3 linked regions of the Cricetulus griseus genome follow. The protein of the gene in region 1 interacts with the protein of each later gene in a biochemical or structural test. Links are inferred from orthologs where the notes say so. Each region holds a gene or a part of one and is shown in the gene's direction. Other genes may lie near its edges.

Evidence for each region.
Region 2: of the proteins of Nedd4l (region 1) and Sgk1, one has a biochemical effect on the other in vitro, tested with the Homo sapiens proteins (5 studies listed by BioGRID). The link is inferred for Cricetulus griseus from reciprocal best matches to the Homo sapiens genes NEDD4L and SGK1.
Region 3: of the proteins of Nedd4l (region 1) and Snca, one has a biochemical effect on the other in vitro, tested with the Homo sapiens proteins (3 studies listed by BioGRID). The link is inferred for Cricetulus griseus from reciprocal best matches to the Homo sapiens genes NEDD4L and SNCA.

What each region holds. Positions count from the first base shown.
Region 1 is NC_048595.1:174,384,558-174,389,740, reverse strand, and holds the start of Nedd4l (E3 ubiquitin-protein ligase NEDD4-like), read left to right. Parts: upstream 1-1,741; 5' UTR 1,742-2,041; coding exon 2,042-2,089; intron 2,090-5,183. UniProt on the Homo sapiens protein: E3 ubiquitin-protein ligase that mediates the polyubiquitination of lysine and cysteine residues on target proteins and is thereby implicated in the regulation of various signaling pathways including autophagy, innate immunity or DNA repair.
Region 2 is NC_048595.1:267,814,078-267,819,106, reverse strand, and holds the start of Sgk1 (serine/threonine-protein kinase Sgk1), read left to right. Parts: upstream 1-1,982; 5' UTR 1,983-2,057; coding exon 2,058-2,175; intron 2,176-2,665; exon of another isoform or gene 2,666-2,740; coding exon of another isoform or gene 2,741-2,816; intron 2,817-2,964; coding exon 2,965-3,040; intron 3,041-3,469; coding exon 3,470-3,545; intron 3,546-3,806; coding exon 3,807-3,911; intron 3,912-4,022; coding exon 4,023-4,106; intron 4,107-4,205; coding exon 4,206-4,337; intron 4,338-4,538; coding exon 4,539-4,651; intron 4,652-4,938; coding exon 4,939-5,029. UniProt on the Homo sapiens protein: Serine/threonine-protein kinase which is involved in the regulation of a wide variety of ion channels, membrane transporters, cellular enzymes, transcription factors, neuronal excitability, cell growth, proliferation, survival, migration and apoptosis.
Region 3 is NC_048601.1:81,915,457-81,920,337, forward strand, and holds the start of Snca (alpha-synuclein), read left to right. Parts: upstream 1-1,607; coding exon 1,608-1,728; intron 1,729-4,881. UniProt on the Homo sapiens protein: Neuronal protein that plays several roles in synaptic activity such as regulation of synaptic vesicle trafficking and subsequent neurotransmitter release.

The sequences.
Region 1 (5,183 bases):
GAGTTTATTAGCTCTTTCTACTGACCTTGTAACATAAGGTGCAAATTTGACAAAGTTCTGCTTGTGTATATTAAGGAACTTCCATTTATATGGGTCAGAGGCACAGAGAAGGGCGTGTAAAATGAGTGTGTGTGTGTGTGTGTGTGTGTGTGTGTGTCCGTGTACTTTTTATAAAAAAGAAAAATAGTCTAGGTTTGATAAGTTGAAAATTCTTGATGGGAAAACACGAGCAGAGTTCTGGGAAATGTTCCTTCACAATCTTTATTTTTCTTGGTAGGGCTCTTGTGGCACCTAAGCGCCATATAAACTTGATGGCTCTGAATTCCGAGGATTCGGAGCAGTGTGTTGATTCCACAAGGCTGGCTTCAAAGGAAAGCTATTACATGGGACACATTGCAAGGGATGAAAGGGAGAGCTAAAGTTGGGGAGTGTGGGACCGCCTTTCAGGGTGTACACCAGGTATTTGATCATTAAGGTGGGCCAGGCAAGGTGACTCTGTTGATCTGTTCTCTCTTCCTTCAGTGAAAATCCTAACCTCCCAGACAAAACCAGACACTCTGATGATTTCTTTTTAAAGGAAAATAGCACGTTCTTTCTGTTCTTGTTTCTAATTTACCACTGCACACAACACTTATTTTTAGGATCGAATGCCTTCCTTTTGTTTTTGTTTTTTTTTTTTGTTTGGGTTTTTTGGTTTTTCGAGACAGGGTTCTCTGTGGCTTTGGAGGCTGTCCTGGAACTCACTCTGTAGACCAGATTGGCCTTGAACTCGCAGAGATCTGCCTGCCTCTGCCTCCCCAGTACTGGGATTAAAAGGCGTGTGCCACCACGGCTGGCTCTTAGGGGAGGCTTCTTGAAAAAAGTAGAGTGACGAATTTCTCTTAACTTATTTAAAGTAGCTTCTTGCATTCCTGTACTTCGAAAGATTAAATGAAGGGCTTGCTAGAGAAATTCCCTATCTGGAATGTGGGAAGACTCCTACGGTGGCTAATAAGACGTCTCCAAGGTTTGCATATGTAAAGGACAAACTTAAAGTTGAATTTGGTATTTCACGTTGTGCCTTACAAAAAAAGCCCGAGCTTTTATCAAAGAACCAGGCAGCCCGGTTTCAAGTGGGTGGGTGTGTACTCAGCGCGGGCGCAGAGTTGGTTTTGTTCCCAGTAGAGTTGACATCGGCAATGGCGACTCGCGGCCACAACGGGGCAGCCTCTCCTAGGCTGGCCGCCCGGCCAGGCGAATCCTTTCGGGGAGCTGACGCGGTGAGCCAAGTCTGGCCTGCCATAGCTGCCAAGAATTTAAAGGGGGTCTAGAAACATGCATCGTCGCCCCTTTAACGCTCCTGGAGACTTCGGGTTAAGAAAAAAAAAAGAAAGATAAAAATGGAAACAATGGTTTTGTTGTTGTTTGCACGGCGTCTTCATGGTCCCCCTAAGGTCCACTCCACCGGGTCCCCAAGGCAGAGAAAAGCGGGGCAAGTAAGAGGGTCAGCCCGGCAGGCCCAGCCCGCCAGGGCGCGCCCCAGTCCAGGACTCTGCGGCGGGTGACCCAGGAGGCGCTGGGGGTGGGGTGGGCGTGGGGCGAAACACCACCACCCCCGCGGCCCGCCCCCCAACCCGGCCTGTGATTGGCTTGGGGGGCGCCAGTGCCCGCCCCGGCGAACGGGAGGGTCGCCGTGGGCGCCGGGCGGCGCAGGCGGGGCGGAGAGGGCGGGCCGGGCGGAGCAGGCGAGGGGCGGGGGCGCGGGTCCCAGGGATCGCTGAGCGGGGCTTGGGGAGGCCGGGAGAGCCAGCGGCGGGGGCGGGAGCCCGCGGGCTGAGCGCTGAGCAGAGAGAGCGCTCGGCCAGCCGCCGCTCGGCGCGCTCTCGGAGCCGCCAGTCCGCGCGTCCCCGCAGCCTTCCGGGAGGAAGCGGCGCCGCGGCCGGGTGCAGCCTCACCTGCCGGCCCTTCCCCGCCCGGCGGCGCAGAAGGACAGAGGGTCGCGGCCCCGCGACGCACTTCAGCCGATCGCAGCGTCTAGGACCCCGCGCGGGGCGCCGGCTCCATGGCGACCGGGCTCGGGGAGCCCGTCTACGGACTTTCGGAAGAGGAGGTGAGTTTCTGCCTAGAGCGTTGTGGGGAGAGGACGGGGCCACTCCGCTGCGCGCGTCCCTTGCTAGCAGTGGGTCCCGGAATCCGGGTGACCCAGAGCGGTCCGGAGCGGTGGGTGACTTGTCCGGGTGAAGCGCTCCGCTCCTCTGCCCGGGGCTCTCGGGGTGGGCGGAGGCCGCGTGAGTCGCTGCCCCGCGGGTCCCTTTCCTCTGCAAGCTGCGTCTCTCAGGGCTGTTAGGCAACTTTCCTGGTCATGCCCCTGCAGCCAGGAGTCCGTGACAAGTGTCACGTCTGGGTCGCTGCAGGGGTCTCTGCGTGGCGCAGGCTATCTGGGGATTGTTGAGGAGCCTGGTGGTGTCTCCTTCTGGGACTTTTCTTGCTAGTGGGCGCTCGGCAGCGGATGTGTGCAGATCCCGGGGGGGGGGGGGGTGACACCGGGAGAGTTGTGTACGGCCGCCCCTGGGTCTTGCAAAGTCTGGAGCTGGGATTGTGCGTTTCGAACTCCTCTATTTTGGTGTGTGGAGGTGATCTGAGAAGGAGGCAGGTGCTGCAGGAAACTTAGGGGAAGCTTGCAGCCCTGCCATTTCTCCTTCGTCAAGAGGATTCAAAGCCCCGCACCTCTGGGGTGGGTGGAGAGAAGAAAGCTCCATTGATCTCTTTTATTAATAAAACGAATGAAATAAGCCACACCCCCAAACGGTCGGTTTGACTGGAGAGGGCTTTGTTTTTAAAAAATCTCACTCGCTCATCGCGGTCCCCACTCCCCCTTTTGAAAGGATCCTGCTAAATCACTGCTCAGCCCTCACTCGACCAGCCATTCTCGACTCTTATTGGTGTGTTGCTCTGCCAAAAAGGGGGGTGGGAGGCCTGTCGCGGGCTCGGAGTGACAGGCAGGCTGGATGGAGCAGGTAGGAGTGGTTCGCCATCTGGCGGGGTGCGCGCCCAGGTCTGGCTCCCCTTTCGAGAGGTGAATTTACAACCCATGAAGCATTACTCAGCGGGGAGGTATTTCCTATCCTGGTTGTGCATTTCATGAAAAGTGGATGCCTGGAAATTTGGGCTTTCTTGATTTCTCTTTCTTACCCTCGCTCCTTTCTTTCTGAGGTTCTCTCTTTCTCTGGAGATGGGGGTGGGGTTTAAAGAGAGTCTATTATGTGAGACCGATTCACAGATTCACGTTATGGCTTTGCTTTCAGCAGCTTCCCTATTGGCATGTGTGTGTGTGTGTGTGTGTGTGTGTGTGTGTGTGTGTGTGTGTGTGTACTGCTTTCCTACTGTGGCATGGTGTGTGAGTGTGTGTATTCTACCTAAGTGTGGAATGAAATGGGTATCTTGAGGTAGGCAGGGCATGTAAGGGTTGATTTTATTTTTTGATAGTGCTTGCTGGATTGCTTATTTTATCAAAGAATGATCACAATGCAAATAATGTGTGATATGTTTTTGATTATTTGTCATGCTTGTGTAAAATAAAGTGTGTGTGTGTGTGTGTGTGTGTGTGTGTGTGTGTGTGTGTGTGTGTGCTGTTAGCTGTTACCTGGAGATGGGTGAAAGTAGACTTGTTTTGTTTACCCAGGGGATTCTCCTCCTAGCTCCTTGTCTAGAGCTGGAGGGCAGTCTGAGCTCTTGGAGGTGCTGAGATACTGAACAAAGGGCTCCCTGGATGAGGTATCAAGGGAGATGAAGACAGCTGCGTTTCTTCTTAGGGTCTCTTAATTTTTAAAAATAACATGCTTATTTTTAAAAGCTCCTTGAAAGAAATATTTTAAGGGTGTTTTGGGAAATGTATCTGCCTAAAGGAATCCTATCTGTCACTGGTGTGCGCGCGCTTTGTTTATGCTGGCAGCCAGTGTCAGAATCCACCTCAGGAGCATCTTGACACTTTTGTCTCCGAGAATCGCTGCTGATCCTGACTGGTGTGGGGTGTCAAAGTGGAGAACATAGACACAAGAACCGAGTGTGCCTGTGACTGTTCGCTCCTGCGTATTGTCAGAGGGACTGTATAGGGAATAGCAAGAGGAGATGAAAAACACTATTTATGTATTCTGTTTAGTTCCTCAAACATCATATATGATCCAAAATAAGCTGCATCTGCCTCCCTTTTTCATTTTTCTATCACCAATAGAAAATGATTGCCTTCATATTTCTAAGGCAATTGTTTGGTGTGGGAGGTTTCCCTCTGTTCAGGGAGGGGGCCATTTGAAGACATACAGAACTCCTTCATATAGTATTAACACCAAATTGTTAAATTTGCTTGCTTTGTCGCCTCTCCCGAATTAGTGTGTAAGCAAACAAATGAGAGTAATTAACAGGCTCTGAAAGTGGACTGCCTGATGAAATGAACAGCACTAGAGGCTTGTCAAGTTGTGTTAAATAGTGAGCACCAGAGGGCTGCAAGTATCACATGGAGACACCCGTGTAGGGGTAGAGAGGAGTCTACTTGTAGACCTTGAGAAAATCGGGCACTGTACCCAGGGTTTCCTTGTAGGTAGACATGTGTTCATGTTTGATAGTGGCAGAAAGCTTTATGTATTTGGAAGGAACTTAGTCATGCCCCATCTTATAAAGCCACTGTGAGCTATGTACTGCTATTGGTCAAGCATAGTGCTAACCTAGAGCATAGCAGGATGGCAGGGCCAAGACATCGCTGCTTGGGGCATCAGCCTAAGGTCTGGCTAGTGTACTGAATGAGAAGGATTAAGATATAGGTTTTGCTTCTGTGGGTGTATGTGCTACGTATGCATTGCAGCTGTATTTCCTTGGGTGACTTCTAATTCATACTCACTATAATTTAAGGCATGTCAGTTTCAGAAACCAAAATTGAAATCACTATTAGATGAGTTTTGGTATTGAAGGGATAAGCTAACGAACAACAGTTCATATTCATGGCTGAGGATAAGATTTGGTTTGGAATCAGAAAGGTTTGGACTAGTTTCTGCATCTGGGTTGGGTCCTTGAAGGGCTTTTTCTTGTTTGAGTTTATTTGTGGCCATCTGTAGCCTGTTTTGGTAAGGTTTACTCATGAATATTACTGTTACTCTTTTGAAACCTGTCATTACACCTGAGAAAGGTATCAGTTTTTTTTGTTTTTGGTTTTG
Region 2 (5,029 bases), about 93 Mb from region 1:
TGAGAGAACAAACCCTGTGCATGTGTTTTGAATTTTTTTTCTGGACTGATTTGTGGTGATAATCAGTTAAGTTACATTTCTTGTGTGTCTTGCTGGTGAAATAAGCCTAGGACGCTGATGACTGTAATTTTCTGGATGATGTTGCAACGGCGGGATAAATAGCCCCTTGTTGAACTTCGCAGCTTGCTCCCTTCCTGTATGTAAATTCCCTTTAGATATAAAGTAGGGCTCAGAACAAAACAGCAGTAGCAGCCTCTGGCTGGTGCTCCCTTGTCATCTGGCACTTCCAGCCTCCTCAGAAGCACACAGCCTGAAGGTTAACTCCATAAACTAATCCCAGGCTTCACATCTCCAGCACTGTGAAGAATGAAAGAGGAGGCTTTAAGATCCCCCTGGAAAGGTTCGTGTTTTGAGTACTATAGTTTGGATGGGATGGCTAAAACAAAGATACCTGGGAGAAGCGCTTGGGGAAGCTCTGAAGTTAGGTGACATAGTAGGGAGGGTCTCTGATGGAAGACGTCTTGATTTCATGTTTTAAAACGAATAAGCAATCTTTCAGAGACTGGTGTTTCAGACCAAACCTTTTTTTTTTCAGAGGGGAAGGAACCAGGAAGGAGGGGGTACAGGATGGGGTGCAGCAGGACTAGTCTAAATAAATGACTGCTGCCACGTGGTTTTTGGAGGCACTCACAGGCAATAACAAATTCACAGTTTGTGCAGAATTCAAGCACGGACAAAGCAGCATGGGCTAACTGCTGTGATTTGGAGTTGCCTATACACCTTGTTTTAGGTTGGAGTGCCAATTTCAGGCACCCTAAGTGCGTTTTGAAGAGTGTCCACAAAGCAAAATCTTGTCTTCAAAGAGGGGATGTGCGTCCCCTTCAACGGGTCTCTGGCTGTCTGAAAGTGAGGAAATCAAGCAGCAGCTGAGACTAGAGATCACATTAGGGCATGTGAGGTGGCTGTGGCTGTAAAACAAACTCCTGCCCAATACGGAGGGAAAAGAGCTTCGCATGCTTTTCCTGGCTTGACAACTGGTATTTTGGAGTGTGTCAGCTCTAAAATGTTGGGCCCTTCTCAGCGAGGGGTCATGGCAGGGCAGTCACCGCAGACAGCACCAGCCAGCGCCAGGTACTGGCTCTGAGAGTCTTGCTTACTTGTAGCCACGTTCCCGCCCCTGGTCCAGACCGGTGCTCCCGGCTTCCTAGCCAGCGCTGGCGCGGGTCGCCGCGTTGGCGGTCAGGCTATAGCGCCAGGCATCCCCCAGCGGCGGGGTTACTGCAAGGTACCTCACTCCTCTAGCCAGCTCAGGCTACCTCCTGCAGCTTTCCTCTGTTCCTAGTTTTCTGAAACGAGTCTCTTAACCTTTAAAGAGTTAACGAGTTTCAGTTATATGTGAACTTGCAAGAAAAAGCAAGGTTAGAAAATTAAGACTACTTGGGCCCGCTGTGAGGTAACTCAAAGGAGAGTAGGGAAGATGCGGAATAACGAACGGAGCTTAAGGCGATGCAACGCAATTTTGCATTTTCTTGTGAGAGAGCAGCAGGTCCCCTGGCAGGGGAATCGACGTCGCAAGGGTCACTCCAGGTCGGCTCCCAGAGCGAAGCCCCTGCTCCCCCTAACTTAACACCTCCTCACGTGTTCTTGGCATGGCTAGGATTAAAATTTGCAAGGCACAAAAATTATATGCGGAACGGACAGAATGTTCTCGGAGATTAGTTGAAAAAAAAAGTGAAATGAAGATTGTACTTTTTTTTCTTGTAGTGCAGAGACTTATTTCCGCCCCCTCCCCTACACATTCCTGACCCCCCTCCCCCCGCTCTTTCCTTCCTTCCTTCCTCCTCTTCCAAGTTCTGGGATTTTTCAGCCTTGCTTGGTTTTGGCCAAAAGCACAAAAAAGGCGTTTTCGGAAGCGACTCGGCCGTGCACAAGGGACATTTGTTTGTTTTGGGACTGGGGCAGGAAATCTTGCCGGCCTGAGTCACGGCGGCTCCTTCAAGGAAACGTCAGTGTTCGCCGGTCGTTGTCGCCCGCTGCGCGCCCCTCAGTCCGCGGCCATGGGGGAGATGCAGGGTGCGCTAGCGCGGGCTCGGCTCGAGTCCCTGCTCCGGCCCCGCCACAAAAAGCGGGCGGAGGCGCAGAAAAGGAGCGAGTCGGTCCTGCTGAGCGGACTGGGTAAGCACCGCCGCCCGGCCCGCGGGGACTCGGCTCCGGAGGGGTATGGGTGGGTGGAGGTCGGATGGAGACGGGAGGACGGCGCCGCACAGGACCCGGCGGATGCGAGCCGGGCACCGGGTCGGGAGAGCGAGGAGGGGAGAGGTCGGTGCTGAGCGGCGCTCCGCTCGGGCAGTGCAGGAGAGGAAATGGAAAATCACCGGGGCTCTCCACCCCTCCAGTCCCCTCCTTCTGCCCGGGCGGACGGAGGCCGAGTGTCCCCCTGAGCCCGGGTCCTGCTCGCACAGCCCTTGAACCCTCGGCCCTGCCGGGGCGGTCAGCACAGCTCACCCAGGATCAGGCGGCCAGCCACCCGCATCCGCCCGGGTCCCGGTCAGCAGTCGCAGTGGCGGCCGGGGGCGGGGCCTCGAGGTGGGCGGAGCCCGGAGCTCCGCTTCCTCATCATTGTTCCGCCGGCCCCGCCCCCGCGGCGGCGCAGAGCATATAAAGGCTGCCGCGCGGCCGGGGTGCGCTGTTGGCTAAGCCGGTTTCACTGCTCCGTCTTGTCTCTGGTCTTTTCGGGGCGATGACTGTGAAAACCGAGGCTGCTCGAAGCACCCTCACTTACTCCAGAATGAGGGGAATGGTAGCGATTCTCATCGGTGAGTGCTGGAAAAGCACCGGACTTGAATAGGAGAGACGACGTGAAAGGCTGGAGGGTTTTGAAGGTTCGGGATCAGATTAGCGTGTGGCGTCGGACGTTACGGAGCCGCCTAAACCTTTTCTTTTTCCTCTCTTTTTAATTCACAGCTTTCATGAAGCAGAGAAGGATGGGCCTGAACGACTTTATTCAGAAGATCGCCAACAACTCCTATGCATGCAAACAGTAAGTTTGGGGTAATTAAAGAAAATAAAAAGAATCGTTTAAGTTTAGCAGCCGCTAAGACATACTATTACCACTTTGTTCATCGGGGGAAGCCGAAGTATTTTCTCTGGGGTAGAGATCTCTTGGTCTTGAGCATTTAGCTTATCTGAAATAATTCTAAACATTAATATTAATTTATGGGTCGAACCTGCCCTGGAGATGTAAGATTAATTCGCGTGCATGTTTATCAAATTTCACGTCCTCTCTCGATGGACCAACCTCAATTTGTATATTTAACCGGGTTATTTTCTTAACCTACGTTTTTGTAAGTAATTCATTCAGATGTTTTCGGTTTAAACGGTGAACGGTTGAGTCAGAAATTGAGCTTATGTCGGTGTGCCCTCTGGTGGCGAGTTAAGAGTTTCTAAACCGGTCCTTTAATCCCCGCAGCCCTGAAGTTCAGTCCATTTTGAAAATCTCCCAACCTCAGGAGCCCGAGCTTATGAACGCCAACCCCTCTCCTCCGGTAAGTACTCTTTTCTGGAGGGAAATGGTAAATGAATCTGTAGTGGTCAGTTAAGACATCATTTGAAAAAATTATTTATTGTGAAGGTAGGAATGTCTTCAAAACATAACAAGTGGCATAAGTGTTTAAGTATTGAGTCACTGGAATGTTTTGAAAGGCATATTTCATAAACTTGTATCTGCTACCAGTTGGCTGTGTGCAGCTTTTACGTACTCACAGATATTATCATAGATATTAAAGGGCGATGTTTTTGTTTTCTAGCCAAGTCCTTCTCAACAAATCAACCTTGGTCCGTCCTCCAATCCTCATGCTAAACCATCTGACTTCCATTTCTTGAAAGTGATTGGAAAGGGCAGTTTTGGAAAGGTAATTTTCAAATATGACAGCTTTAAAACTATGCTCTTTTGTGCATTCATTTGCACATTCTCCCTGGATGAGGATAGAAAAAAAATTTGACTTGTTTGATTGACATTTCAGGTTCTTCTAGCCAGACACAAGGCAGAAGAAGCATTCTATGCGGTCAAAGTTTTACAGAAGAAGGCTATCCTGAAAAAGAAGGAGGTAGGAGTGACACCTGATGGCCTTAGTGATTATCTTTACCCTGTTATTTGGTGCCAGGCTGAAGTCTGAATTTGGTACTGAATGTCACCTTTTTCCTAGGAGAAGCATATCATGTCAGAGCGGAACGTTCTGCTGAAGAATGTGAAGCACCCTTTCCTGGTGGGCCTCCACTTCTCTTTCCAGACTGCCGACAAACTGTACTTTGTCCTTGACTACATTAACGGTGGAGAGGTGAGCTGGGGGAATAGACCTCTAGAGGTGGTGGGGTTTCTCTGCTCAGCTTGCTTGGTTCAAGGAATCAACATTTTCTTGAACTTATCAATTTATTATTAATCTATTTCAAGCCACTTTCTGCAGTCTTTCTCTTCAGGCTTATGTGTCAGACTTGATTAAATGGCCCCACTCAGCCTTGCTTTGTTTTGTCTCTTGCAGCTGTTCTACCATCTCCAGAGGGAACGCTGCTTCCTAGAACCACGGGCTCGCTTCTATGCTGCTGAAATAGCAAGTGCCTTGGGCTATCTGCACTCCTTGAACATAGTTTATAGGTAAGTCGGAGGCAAAGCAACCTGGCTGGGAAGGAGGGAGGCCTGGCGGAGCCTTTGGAGTCTTAAAATATGTGATTATGTACAATTCGGTCACTTCTAAAACTTCCCTAGCATGTGAGCCAGCCAAGAGGGTGGTTCCTAATCCAGGCCAGCAGAGCAAAGACTCCTTTCTGTGATTGGCTATGGAGCAGCAAGGGATTAAAAGTCCTAATCCCTTTAGCAGTCTTTCCAGGGGATTTGTCATGAAGTGAAATTAACCTATGCAACCACTTTTCATTTTCCCACAGAGACTTAAAGCCAGAGAATATTCTCCTGGACTCACAGGGACACATTGTCCTGACTGACTTTGGGCTCTGCAAGGAAAACATTGAGCACAAC
Region 3 (4,881 bases), on another chromosome or scaffold:
CGCCCAGAGAAACCTGGAACAGGCGGAGGCAGGGATGGGGTGGGGGATGGGCAGGAAAGACATCAGCCTAAGTTCAACCTCTATAGAGCCCGGGGTCCCTGAACTCGGGGTGACTCTCAGGCCACCCTGTCTTCCCTCCTCCTGGGGAGCGTGCTTCTGGAACCCGCAGCCCTCACGCATCTCCATCCCATCCCTCCCCAGGAAAGGGACGAAGGCACGAGGCAGGCGAGGGGCGGGGAGAGGCGCTGACAAATCAGCTGCGGGGGCGACGTGGAGGAGCCGGGGAGCCAGAGCGCCTAGCAGCAGACGGCAGGAGACCAGCAGGTGCTGCCCCTGCCCCTCCGCCCAGAGCCTTCCTTTCCACTGCCACTGAAATAAGATCAGGGGCAGAGAGGAGGAATCTGAATTCTGCGAAGCCAAGGGCGCCGGTAAGTACCTGTAGATAGCAGCAGCTCTGGGGATCCCGGAGAACCCTGGCTAAGAGGAGTCCCGATGCCTGGGAGATCTCCAGCTGAGGCTACCTCAGCGGTGGGGACACGGCCAGTGCATTGAAAGTACATTACTTGGCTTTCCTCGCGCTAGAGACGTGCTCTTCCATTCTCCCAAAGCCCGAGGGGAAACCAGGCTGTTCGTGGCATCTGCTTTTTCGAGCGGAAACGCCAGGGTGTTTCGTGTTGGGTGCTGGGTCCTGGAAGCTGAGCGCTGGGCGTTGGGAGAAACCTGAGCATCCAACTTTCATCCCCCACCCCGGGCACGTTCTATCTCTTATCTGGAGTGTAAGGAGGCTACATTTGGCCAGTGATTAATAAAAGTGCCTAAGGCACTTGGCAACAGGTGATAAGGGGTTAATGAGCACGGGGGTGCAGGGTTTTCAAGCAGATTCCAGTTGAGGACAGGGCCCCCAGGTTGGGTAGAGCTGAAGTGAGCCGGCTCAAGTGTGTGGACAGCGCCTGCTCCGGGCAGATAACAGACTGGAGAGCTAGCAGTGGGTGGAAGGTCTTGTTAGATTTGAACAGCTGGGCTGATGACAGTTGGCGTGCTGTTCCCTTCATCTTGAAGTAAGCAGTTCCCTTCCTTCCCCTCTCCTAAGACTAAACACTTACTAACCCCTTTCTGAGTCCTTTTACCCTTGCCCCCGACTTCAGTACCCCCTTCCATTGGTTTTCTAGACAAGCTTTTTACTTAGAATGTCGCCTTTAGGCCCTGGGAACTTGATGGGGTAGAGTCCACCCATCTTGCCATGTAACTCCATTTTCCAGCTGCTGTAAGAATGGCCAGGTGATCCATCTGGATCCATCCCATCTTTAAGTGGCTTGACTCTTCCTAGATTTGAGTGAAAAAGCTGACAAGCAACACCATGCCCAGTCCTCAAAACAAGCAAGCAAGCAAGCAAACAAACAAACAAACAAACAAACAAAAAAAACGAGTGTTCATTTACACAGAGATTGGGGAGGGGGGGTCTCTACTGATTTTTCAGTGATTTCTTCCTTGATTTTTAAAAAAATTCTTCCCATTCTAGCTGCTTTAATCTTGTTTTCTTTTACTCAAATTTTTAATTCAAAGTGTATTGTGTATTCTCTAGAGTGGAGGAAAAGACATCTTTCGCCATGGATGTGTTCATGAAAGGACTTTCCAAGGCCAAGGAAGGAGTTGTGGCTGCTGCTGAAAAAACCAAGCAGGGTGTGGCAGAAGCAGCAGGAAAGACAAAAGAGGGAGTCCTCTATGTAGGTAGGTAGTGGTGCCGTGACTGATGAGTTGGAGTGGCTAATCACTCAGTGCTGGCATGTGGTGTCTGATTCATGCACATAGCTGCTTCTCAGGAGAGTGACAGGTATGTGGAGGTGAGAGAATTGTGAATCTGCTTGTTAGCTCTCAGAAACAAATGGGAACAATGTTTTCTTTCCTTAGAATACTTAATTTTATTGCTTACTTAGGGTTTTCCATGTTTCTGTGTGTGTGTGTGTGTGTGTGTGTGTGTGTGTGTGTGTGTGTGTGTGTGAGCACATTGGGATTTTTAAAACTGGCAACCCATGAAAAATAACTAAGAATATGCTTATGAATCAGACCCATTTACAGCAGCAGGATGGTGGCATGTGGAATCCCAACATTTGGGACATGGAGGCCCAAGGGTCAGGAGTTGAAGATCATCTTTAGCTACATAGTGAGTTCAGGGTCAGTCCAGTCTACATGAAATCCCATCACAAAACAAAACAAAACAAAACAAAACAAAACAAGAGGAGTCCCAGGCCCTCACGGGACTTTGGCTTCTTTCATCATCACCATAGATAATACTTGTTAATTGCAATTTTAAAAATAAAACTGTAGTATGATTGTATTTAATATCTGTGAAAATACACCTACTTTGGTCCCCCAATAGAAAAAAAAAAAAAGGCAAGTTGTTCTTAGTGGATCTCCCTTTTGAGATGAAGCTCAAGGAACCTCAGATGTGTTTGTGTAATCACCTGGATGATGCACACAGGAAAGAGCAAGAGGTTGATACTCGGTGCCTTTTGTGCCTAAGTGTAAACCTTGAGACAGAGGTCAACACTGTTTACTGGCTTTCCCTGTGTTAAACTGGTTGCACTTCCAGTACTTTGATGGAGGGAAAAGACATATATGTATGCATGCACATTCATCTCCAGCAGAGACCCAGGTGCACAAGGGAGCAAGGATGCATGACTCACCTGCCCCCTCTGTGCTTCTCTGAGCTTCCCTACCTTCTTAGGGGGCCTCTATCTCAGTAGAAGGCAAAGGGTCAACCTTAAGATGGAAATGGAACAGACAAGTGGCAGAGGTGACAGAGAGGCCACACACTGAGACTGAGACTTACCAAAAGTGGGAAGCTGTGCTGGCGCTCCAGCTCTAACTGATTAGTGGGAAAAAACCTTTCATGAACTTTCAAAGTTTCTAGCATATCACCTTTGCTCATTCCTCATAGATTGTTTTTATGTTGACTCCCTTTCCACCTCAAAACAACCTTTCAGAAAGTCTTGAAATGAATATTAAAAGAGAAAGGTGTGAGTCAAGTGCTTCTTTTGGGAACAGTGAGGTCAATGTTTTTGATAGAATCCAGAATATAAAATCAGTTATTTGTAGATTTTTCAGGGCCTCAAAGTCTCCCACATCCTGCAACTATAGACCCATGACTACATTTTTTAATTAGTTACTTAGTGAATGTTATCTTTCTTCTTTTTAGACAACTAGTCACCTAATTTTCTTTTTTAATTTTTTTTTTTTTTTTGAGACAGGGTTTCTCTTATGGTTCTGGCTGTCCTGAAACTCACTATTTAGACTAGTCTGGCCTTGAACTCACTGAAATCCACCTGCCTCTGCCTCCTGGTACTGGGATTAAAGGCATGTGTCACCACCTTCCAGCTAGAGCATTAATTTTAAGCAAATGTAGAAGTTACTGAATATTAATTTATTATTCTTTCTAGTTAATAAACAGATCTTATCAAGTAGAACACTTTCATGTTTTATTGTTAATTGTGAGTTTAGGCAAATAAAGTGATTAGATTTTTCAAAGATTAATTTTGTTGTTCACTGCGAGGCAATTATGTAAAAAGCATAATGTTTCAATAAGTCTAATGTTACTAAAATTATCAATGTTGTTATATTTAATACATATATAATTAATCAATTGCTGGTTATGTTCTGGAGTCTAATTAAAAGCTGAACGTGGGTGGTGGTGGCACATGCCTTTAATTCCAGCACTGGGGAGGCAGAGACAGGTGGATCTTTGTGAGTTTGAGGCCAGCCTGGTCTACAGAGTTCAAGGACAGGCTCCAAAGCAATACAGAGAAACCCTGTCTCAACAAAACCAACCAATCAAACAAACAAAAAAAAGCCAAACACATGCATAGAATTTACTATGAAAAGTGAGGTCTAAAGGTAAGAATTAAGTTAAGATTTTGGTCAACTTTTGTTAATTTTCAAACTTATTTCGGCCAATCTGTCTCAGATAATCAGGTCTACTGTTAAAGTGTGAAAGCAACCATGGGCAATAACCAGTGTGGTGCTGTTTCAGTTTTTATTTATCAAAACAAGAAGCTGGGGTTAACTTATAGGCTAGAAAAAAGTGAAAGGGAATTGGGCTATAACTTATCAAACAAACATAAATTTAATACAAGCTACATCACTTCTACCTTTAGGATCTTGAGGAAGTTAATGTCTTTGAATTTCCTTCCCTTTTCCACAAATAATGTAGTTCATAAAAGTACAATTCCTTTGCAGAGCTTTTGTGGAAATGTGTAACCAAGTGCACTTTCATATTTAGGAAACTTGATTTTTATTAAATAAGCTATTCCACTCAACATGATTTCCTCTTATTTTTCACCAAATATATAAAACTATCATCAATAATTAGCCTGAAGGATTAGAAATAATCTGGGCTACAATTTGTCTCAGTGGCACGGTGGTTGTCTGTGTGCATGCAGCACTGGTCTCGATCTCTGTATCAGAAATCAAAAGATTTAAGAAGTATTAAAAGCAATTAAAGAAAAATTTTAAATTTCACCTATGTCTGAAATGTTTGGCAGAAGCCTCACCTCATTCTTTTATAACAAATGCTTTGGACAACTGCCTTTTAAGTAACTGAAGAACTGCCACAGTAATCAATGTGCTGTTTTTCTTTGTGATATTTGCATAAAATTTTCAATTAATATAGTTTAGTTGCAGAAACATGTGCCAATGGCATGACATATAATTACAAATCAATATTATTCTCAATTTTTTTCTTCACATAATGTTAGTTTTATAGTATTAAGTGGAAGAAAATCACTGCCAAATTCGGTTTCACTGCTTGGTGAGCAGCTGTGGTGACACCAGCTCTTAAGTCTTACACTGACTTAATTATATTTTTGAGAATTATTATATTTGGTT